Linked DNA regions of Macaca mulatta. The protein of the gene in region 1 interacts with the protein of each later gene in a biochemical or structural test. Links are inferred from orthologs where the notes say so. Each region holds a gene or a part of one and is shown on either strand. Other genes may lie near its edges.

Region 1 (3,645 bases):
CCAGGCTGGAGTGCAGTGGCACGATCTCGGCTCACTGCAAGCTCTGCCTCCTGGGTTCACACCATTCTGCTGCCTCAGCCTCCCAAGTAGCTGGGACTACAGGCGCCCGCCACCACGCCCGGCGAATTTTTTTGTATTTTTAATAGAGACGGAGTTTCACCATGTTAGCCAGGATGGTCTCAATCTCCTGACCTCATGATCTGCCCACCTTGGCCTCTCAAAGTGCTGGGATTACAGGTGTGAGCCACCGCGCCCAGCCTTTTTTTTTTTTTTTTTAACAGTTTTATTGAGATATCATTTTCATACCATACAACTCATGCATTTAAAGCATACACATCGGCCAGGCTCGGTGGCTCACGCCTGTAATCCCAGCACTTTGGGAGGCCGAGGCAGGTGGATCATGAGGTCAGGAGATCGAGACCATCCTGGCTAACACAGTGAAACCCCGTCTCTACTAAAAATACAAAAAATTAGTCGGGCGTGGTGGCGGGCGCCTGTAGTCCCAGCTACTCGGGAGGCTGAGGCAGGAGAATGACGTGAACCCGGGAGGCGGAGCTTGCAGTGAGCAGAGATCGCGCCACTGCACTCCAGCCTGGGCCACAGAGCGAGACTTCGTCTCAAAAAAAAAAAAAAAGCATACACATCACTGGTAGCATTGCACAACTATCCCTATCTCATCTCATGCCCCTAAAAAGAAACCCTTTTCCCATCAGCAATCACTGCCCCATTTTCTCCTCTTCCCGACCACGTATCCCCTCCTGTCTCTGTGGATGGGCCTGCCCTGGACATTTCATAGAAATGGGATCCCACCCTGTTTGGCCTTTTGTGTCTGGCTTCTCACACTGAGTGTGACGTCCTTGGAGCTCATCCACGCTGTGGCCTGCGTCAGATCCCTGTGACTTTCCGTGGTTGAGTTGCATTCTGTTGTATGGGTGGATCACATTCTCTTCACCCATTCATCAACCGAACGACACTTGAGTTGTTTCCACTTTTATTTATTTATTTTTTTTTTTTTTTGAGACGGAGTCTCGCTCTGCCGCCCAGGCTGGAGTGCAGTGGCCGGATCTCAGCTCACTGCAAGCTCCGCCTCCCGGGTTTACGCCATTCTCCCGCCTCAGCCTCCCGAGTAGCTGGGACTACAGGCGCCGCCACCTCGCCCAGCTAGTTTTTTGTATTTTTAAAGTAGAGACGGGGTTTCACCGTGTCAGCCAGGATGGTCTTGATTCCTGACCTCGTGATCCGCCCGTCTCGGCCTCCCAAAGTGCTGGGATTACAGGCTTGAGCCACCGCGCCCGGCCTGTTTCCACTTTTTGCCTTGCCGCTGTGTGTGGACGTGTGTTTCCGTTTCTCTTGTGTATACACCCACAACTAGAATTGCTGAGTCATGTGATAATTCTATGGTTTAACATTTTGAGAAACCGCTAGACTGTTTTCCACAGTAACTGTATCTTTAGTACAGATGAGGGTTTCACCACGTTGGTCAGGCTGAACTCCTGACCTCGGGTGATCCACCCGCCTCAGCCTCCCAAAGTGCTGGGATTACAGGCATGAGCCACCATGCCAGGGCTCCTTATGATTTTGATTTGCATTTCCTTAATGACTTACAATGTCAAGCAGCTTTTCATGTGCTCTCCCTATATCTTCTAAATTTGACTAGTGGCCGAATGCAATGGCTCATGCCTGTAAATCCACCATTTTGGGAGGCTGAAGTGGGCAGATCACTTGGGCCCAGGGGTTTAAGATCTGGGCAACTTAGTGAGATCCTGGCTCTACAGAAAATTTTAAAAATGTAGCTGGGCATGGTAGTGAGTGCCTGTAGTCCCAGCTACTCAGGAGGCTGAAATGAGAGGATAACTTGAGCTCAGAAATTAGAGGCTGCAGTAGGCTATGATCACACCACTGCATTCCAGCCTGGGCGACAGGGTGAGATCCTGTTTCTTTTTTTTTTTTTTTTTTTGAGATGGAGTCTCGCTCTGTCGCCCAGGCTGGAGTGCAGTGGCCGGATCTCAGCTCACTGCAAGCTCCGCCTCCCGGGTTCACGCCATTCTCCTGCCTCAGCCTCCCGAGTAGCTGGGACTACAGGCGCCCGCCACCTCGCCCGGCTAGTTTTTTTGTATTTTTTAGTAGAGACGGGGTTTCACCGGGTTAGCCAGGATGGTCTCGATCTCCTGACCTCGTGATCCGCCCGTCTCGGCCTCCCAAAGTGCTGGGATTACAGGCTTGAGCCACTGCGCCCGGCCTATCCTGTTTCTAATTAAAAGAAAAGAGGCTGGGCGCGGTGGCCCATGCCTGTAATCTCAGCACTTTGGGAGGCTGAGGAGAGCAGATCACTTGAGGTAAAGAGTTCAAGACCAGCCTGGCCAACATGGTGAAGCCCCATCTATACTAAAAATAAAATTTAGCCGGGCGTGGTGGCATGCATCTGTAGTCCCAGCTACTTGGGAGGCTGAGGCAAGAGAATCGCTTGAACCCAGGAGGCGGAGGTTGCAGTGAGCCAAAATCATGCCACTGTATTCCAGCCTGGGCAACAGAGCAAGGCTCTTATCTCAAAAAAAAAAGAAAAAAAAAAGAGCCGGGCTCGGTGGCTCACGCCTGTAATCCCAGCACTTTGGGAAGCCGAGGCGAGTGGATCACGAGGTCAGGAGATGGAGACCATCCTGGCTAACATGGTGAAACCCCGTCTCTACTAAAATACAAAAAATTAGCCGGCTGTGGTGGCGGGCACCTGTAGTCCCAGCTACTCAGGAGGCTGAGGCAGGAGAATGGTGTGAACCCGGGAGGCGGAGCTTTCAGTGAGCCGAGATCGCGCCACTGCACTCCAGCCTGGGCGACAGGATGAGACTCTGTCTCAAAAAAAAAAAAAAAAAAAAAAAAATTTCACCTATGGAAAGGGTTTTCCCCAAGGTTAGTGGTAGAACCCCTCTTTCCCTGGCTTCAGCTCCGGTTGCCTTTCCTGAAACAAATGGTCCTGATTGGTGTCCCTACCTCCCTTCTCAGCAGGTCGAGTCCCGGGCGCTCACCATGTTCCGGGACATTGCCCAGCAGCTGCAGGCCACCTGTACCTCCCTGGGGTCCAGCATTCAGGGCCTCCCCACCAATGTGAAGGACCAGGTACAGCAGGCCCGCCGCCAGGTGGAGGACCTCCAAGCTACCTTTTCCAGCATCCACTCCTTCCAGGACCTGTCCAGCAGCATCCTGGCCCAGAGCCGAGAGCGCGTCACCAGCGCCCGCGAGGCTCTGGACCACATGGTGGAATACGTGGCCCAGAACACACCTGTCACGTGGCTCGTGGGACCCTTTGCCCCCGGAATCACTGAGAAAGCCCCAGAGGAGAAGAAGTAGGGGGAGAGGACAGGACGCAGCGGGCCCCGTCTATGCTGCAGCTCTGCTCTGGAGTCTTCAACCCAGGGCTCCTTTCAAACCGATTTTCTGGCCACTCCACCAGCTCTTCTGTGCTGTCTGCTTGGGAAGCTAAGGGTCTCAAAACTGAGGCATCACCCAGCTGACCAATCTCTCAGTCCCTCTGAGCTTGGAGGAAGCGTGTTCTGAGCCTCTCCCTATCAGTCAGTAGAGAGAGATGTCCAGAAAAATATTTTTTCAGGAAAGTTCTCCCCCACAGAATTTTTTTTTTCCTTGTTAAAAGTC
Region 2 (4,187 bases), on another chromosome or scaffold:
TCTACAGGTCACAAGTCTCGAGGGTTTCTAGACTTCCAGTAAGTACAGTTGTCTTTTACGCTACAAATCAATGACAACAAATTGGGAATCACCAAGCCATTTTACAATAGAGTAAATTCAATTCACCTGCTGCTTGTACTGCTCTAGGAATGAAAACACAAGCTCTCTTTCCCAAACTTACTAGGTTGGTGCAAAGGTGACTGTGGTTTTGGCAAAAAAAAACCCCACCAAAACCTAACATTTTGTTTTCTCTAATCCATCCTCATATCCAGTACAGACTGATTTACCCTTGCAAAACACTTCACTCTGATATCTGTTAATGATCCCTCAGGCCATCGCTACTTGTTTATTCCAACAGTATCACAGGCAGTTTCCTGATTTAACTCTTCTAAACTTTTCTCACTTACAATAAAATGCTGCAAATCTGGGCTTTGGTATGAATATTCTTTAAAGTTCTCTAGTTCTTTTTCATGCTGGTCCACTTACTCCACCGCATTTTTGAAATATAAAACTTGAAACAAGCAGAATTTTCATGGGTACTAATGAGTTTGAAGATGGGAAAATGGAAGCTCCAACCTTGACCCTGAATGCACTTTCCCCATTTCCCTAAACAAAGTAACATCTGACCTTCTATTTCCCACATCCCACTAAAGCAACAAATTCCGGGAAATTGTCTACCTGACTTCCTGTACCCCAAACATCAATTCACTACTGTAATATTATGGTAGTTGCCATAGAATAATCATAGCTAGCCAAGAGGTCCAAGGCCCTTATAACACATTTAATGCACTGAAACCACACAACAGCAGGCAACAATAGACTACTGCCTTGGGCCAGGTGCTGTTCAAAGCACTTAACATATATTAAATAACTAATTAATCCTCACAACCTTATGAGTAAATACAATTATTGTTGCTATTTTACCAATAAGAAAACCGAGACACAGCTAGTGGAATTAGCCAGAGAGTCTGGCTCCAGAGTTCATGGTCTGTCATTACATGTATATTTCCACTATGCACATAATAATTTTTTGGAGATGAGAGTAGGCAACCAAAACTGTGGGTTCTTTTTTTTTCCTCCTAAGAAGTGAAGGGGAAGTGATTCCTCACAGTTGACTGAATAGGTGGTGAAATAAAGAACTTAGACCTCCAACTCCCACCACCTTCCCTAAGTTAACCCACTGCTCAACACACAACTTGACCAGCTGACTCACTAAAAAGAAATTGGAGGCTCCTTTTTCTAGACTAACTTAGCCTGCCATTTTCCTTTACAGTCAGTCTCTCAGGACCTAATTAAAAACTGACAGTTGATGATTTCTTTTCCTAAACTAGAACAAGGAATCTCACAAAATTAGGAAGGAATGAAAAGTTAAACACCTCAGCCATTAGCTGAGTTGAACTATCTTTTATTTGCTTATTATTAAAAAAGTTAGGGTAATAAATTGATACTGTATTCTTCTTTCCTGCTTAAGGCTTGGCTTTAAATTTAAGCTGCTTCTCTTTGATTCAGTGGCATAATGCGCTAAATGTTTTACCTAGATTATGTTCATTAATCTTCACAACCCAGAAAAATAGGTGTAATTTTTCATACTTTAAAACGAGAAAACTGACGCTTTACAGAATTAAATTACTTGCTGTACATTACACAGATATTTTATGTGTGTGAAGTTACTGGGGCAATTTAGACGATTCGTGGCATAAAGATAACTGCTGGAAAACTTACAAACATAGGAGTGCAACAATCAGGCAGAGAACGAAATAGAAGGGTTGGGTAGTCCCCTTTTAATATGCTACAGTTAGATTCTCAAGGTACAAGAGTTTGTCTATATACTTTGGAAATAAGGAGCAGGATTTTATGATCTTGAAAAATCTCTTTCAATTTTCTTATTCTCTAACGACACATCTATTCCATTTGGCAATGCTAAAAATTATCCTTTATTAGGGTGGCCAATGACTAAGCCAGCAATTGGGAAGCAGCTTACACCACTGGGCCTCTGTAGCACTCACTTCCCCATCTGGTAAGACAGCCATGGCCATTTTTCCAGTGGAATTTCTACTGTCTTCCCGCTGGCTCCTTTCTGATGTAGCAGTCCTTATCCCTTTTTCTCCAGCAGCCTACAGTTTTAGAAAAGCAGCCCCAATTGGCTGAAAGGCCTAATGCTTAAAGAACTCAAGAGAGAAGGAGCCTCAGAGAAGTAGCGGCTTTGTCCCAAGAGCGGAAGCTCCCCACGAGGAACACATGATAATCCGTCCATCAGCCATTCTTATCCATATCACAGTCGCATCCCCCTCAAACCTCTCCCAGGGTGCTAGAAATTCTCGCTCTGTCCAGTGTCCCGACTTTCCAAGTGCTTGGAGCCATACCTTCTCCAAATGATGCCACTTGACCTCCCACCGTGATGCAGGCCAAAATTCCTCCTACAAATAAATCCACGAACACCTCCAACGGACTCCATACTTGGGGTTATCTTCCTTTCCCTGCTTTCCAAGTATCGTAAATCCCCTCTCTGGTTTTGGAAGTCCTTTCTCCCTCACACCTTTCGGAACTCCGTGACTCTCCGCCCCCACGCCTCCGCCTCTATTCTACTCTTAGGGCTCCTCAGCCAGATCTTTGGCTAGAACCATGGTCAAGGGAGCCATTGCGATCCCGGCTCCTGTCATAGACGCTTAAGTGTGAGCGCACCCCAGCCCGCCTCCTCCTCCACGCCCCTCACACTCACGTGTCGCGGGGAACTGGAGCAGCCAAAGCTCAGAATCCCCCGTGAATACCCGTCTGGGGATGGGAGACGGGGCCAGCTAGGGGCCGGCCGCAGACCCCGGTCCCAGAGCTAGTTTCAGAGGCCAGCGTTCCCCCTAGCGCCTGGATGTGCCCCACTCCGGGAACCGGAAACAGGAAGCGCCAAGAGGCCGCTGGGCAACCGCTCCTCCCACCAGACCCCGCAGCATGTGACCAAAGAACAATTTCGCCCCTTTCCCCTTCCCGGTCTCCCTGGGATTTTAGCTCCGCCCTCGTTCCATCAGCTCCAATCACTATCGAGGTTGTCTAGTTTCGCCTTTTCTGGTTGCCTTTCTTCCAATGGGGTCCCAAAGTCCCGCTTCCAGGGCCTCTCGGCTTGCGCGCCCCGGTCACGCGGGGTCACGCGCCGGACCGCTCCCGGGTAGGGTCCGAGTGAAGAAAGTGCGAGGGGCAGGTGGCGGAAGCGGAAGTTACGCAGGCAGCTCGCCCTCGGGCTCGGCGGGAGTTGTAGTTCTCACGCTAGGTCTCCTCCGAGCGCTTTCCTAGACCGTTCGCCGCCTGAGAGGGACGCTGTTCCGCCGCGTGCAAACTTCAAATCTAGACTCCACTGTCGACTCCTAGACGAGAGTAGTGCAGCGACGGGGCCATGTGCGTCCTGGCTTTCTTAACGACATCACTCCTATGTATTTCCTTTTCCCAGTTGAGTACCTTGGGGTGAATTATTATTGTTACTGTTACCTCTGTCGTTGCTTACTGCCTCGTGGTATTTTACTTGATAAGCATGCTCTGCAACCACCTCTGTTCGCCAGAGGTTACTTCTGCAAAGTAGGAAGAAACGAGCAACACGATGGTAATCTTTGTGCCTTTGCTAAGATCTTTAGCAGGTTCCTTGTGTCTTACTAGCCACTTGTTGAAGTCCTGCTCGTTCTTAAACTCTGTTCAAACGTTATTTCTCCTGTAACTTCCTGCATTCACTCTCTTCAGAATTAACCATTTCTTCCTGTGGACCCCCGCTTGTGGCTTGTAGCTGGCTTTAGCATGTTTTCATTCCGCTTCCACTCTTACGTTGCTTTTATGTGTGGCTCTACGCAGATGCCTGGATTTTTTATTCTTACCCCTCTCATTAGAACTACTACAGTGTTTTGAGTCTAATAATAATAAAAGAGAACGGATGCATATCTCGGTGGTGCACGGCACTTTTGTAAGTGCTTTAAGCGATAGTTAATTCACTTGGTCTTCACACCAACCTTATGAGGAAGTATGTTATCCCAAGTTTACAGATGAGTAAATTAAAGCAGATAGAAGCTAAGTAACACCGTGGGTCCCACAGCTATTAAGTTATCGAGCCAGTATTTAAATAGTCTCCATAATCAATGCTTTCAAGCACTACGCTGTACCTACTGTATGCCATTCTGCATTTCTTCGTTTGTTAGTAACACATTCAGTTCAGG

Evidence for each region. The genes of interacting proteins can lie anywhere in the genome.
Region 2: the proteins of PLIN3 (region 1) and M6PR form a complex in vitro, tested with the Homo sapiens proteins (2 studies listed by BioGRID). The link is inferred for Macaca mulatta from reciprocal best matches to the Homo sapiens genes PLIN3 and M6PR.

Annotation. Positions count from the first base shown.
Region 1 is NC_133424.1:5,694,697-5,698,341, reverse strand, and holds part of PLIN3 (perilipin-3), read left to right. Parts: intron 1-2,604; exon of another isoform or gene 2,605-2,876; intron 2,877-2,997; coding exon 2,998-3,342; 3' UTR 3,343-3,645. UniProt on the Homo sapiens protein: Structural component of lipid droplets, which is required for the formation and maintenance of lipid storage droplets. Required for the transport of mannose 6-phosphate receptors (MPR) from endosomes to the trans-Golgi network.
Region 2 is NC_133416.1:11,649,686-11,653,872, reverse strand, and holds the start of M6PR (cation-dependent mannose-6-phosphate receptor), read right to left. Parts: upstream 2,898-4,187; 5' UTR 2,456-2,897; coding exon 2,364-2,455; intron 61-2,363; exon of another isoform or gene 1-60. UniProt on the Homo sapiens protein: Transport of phosphorylated lysosomal enzymes from the Golgi complex and the cell surface to lysosomes.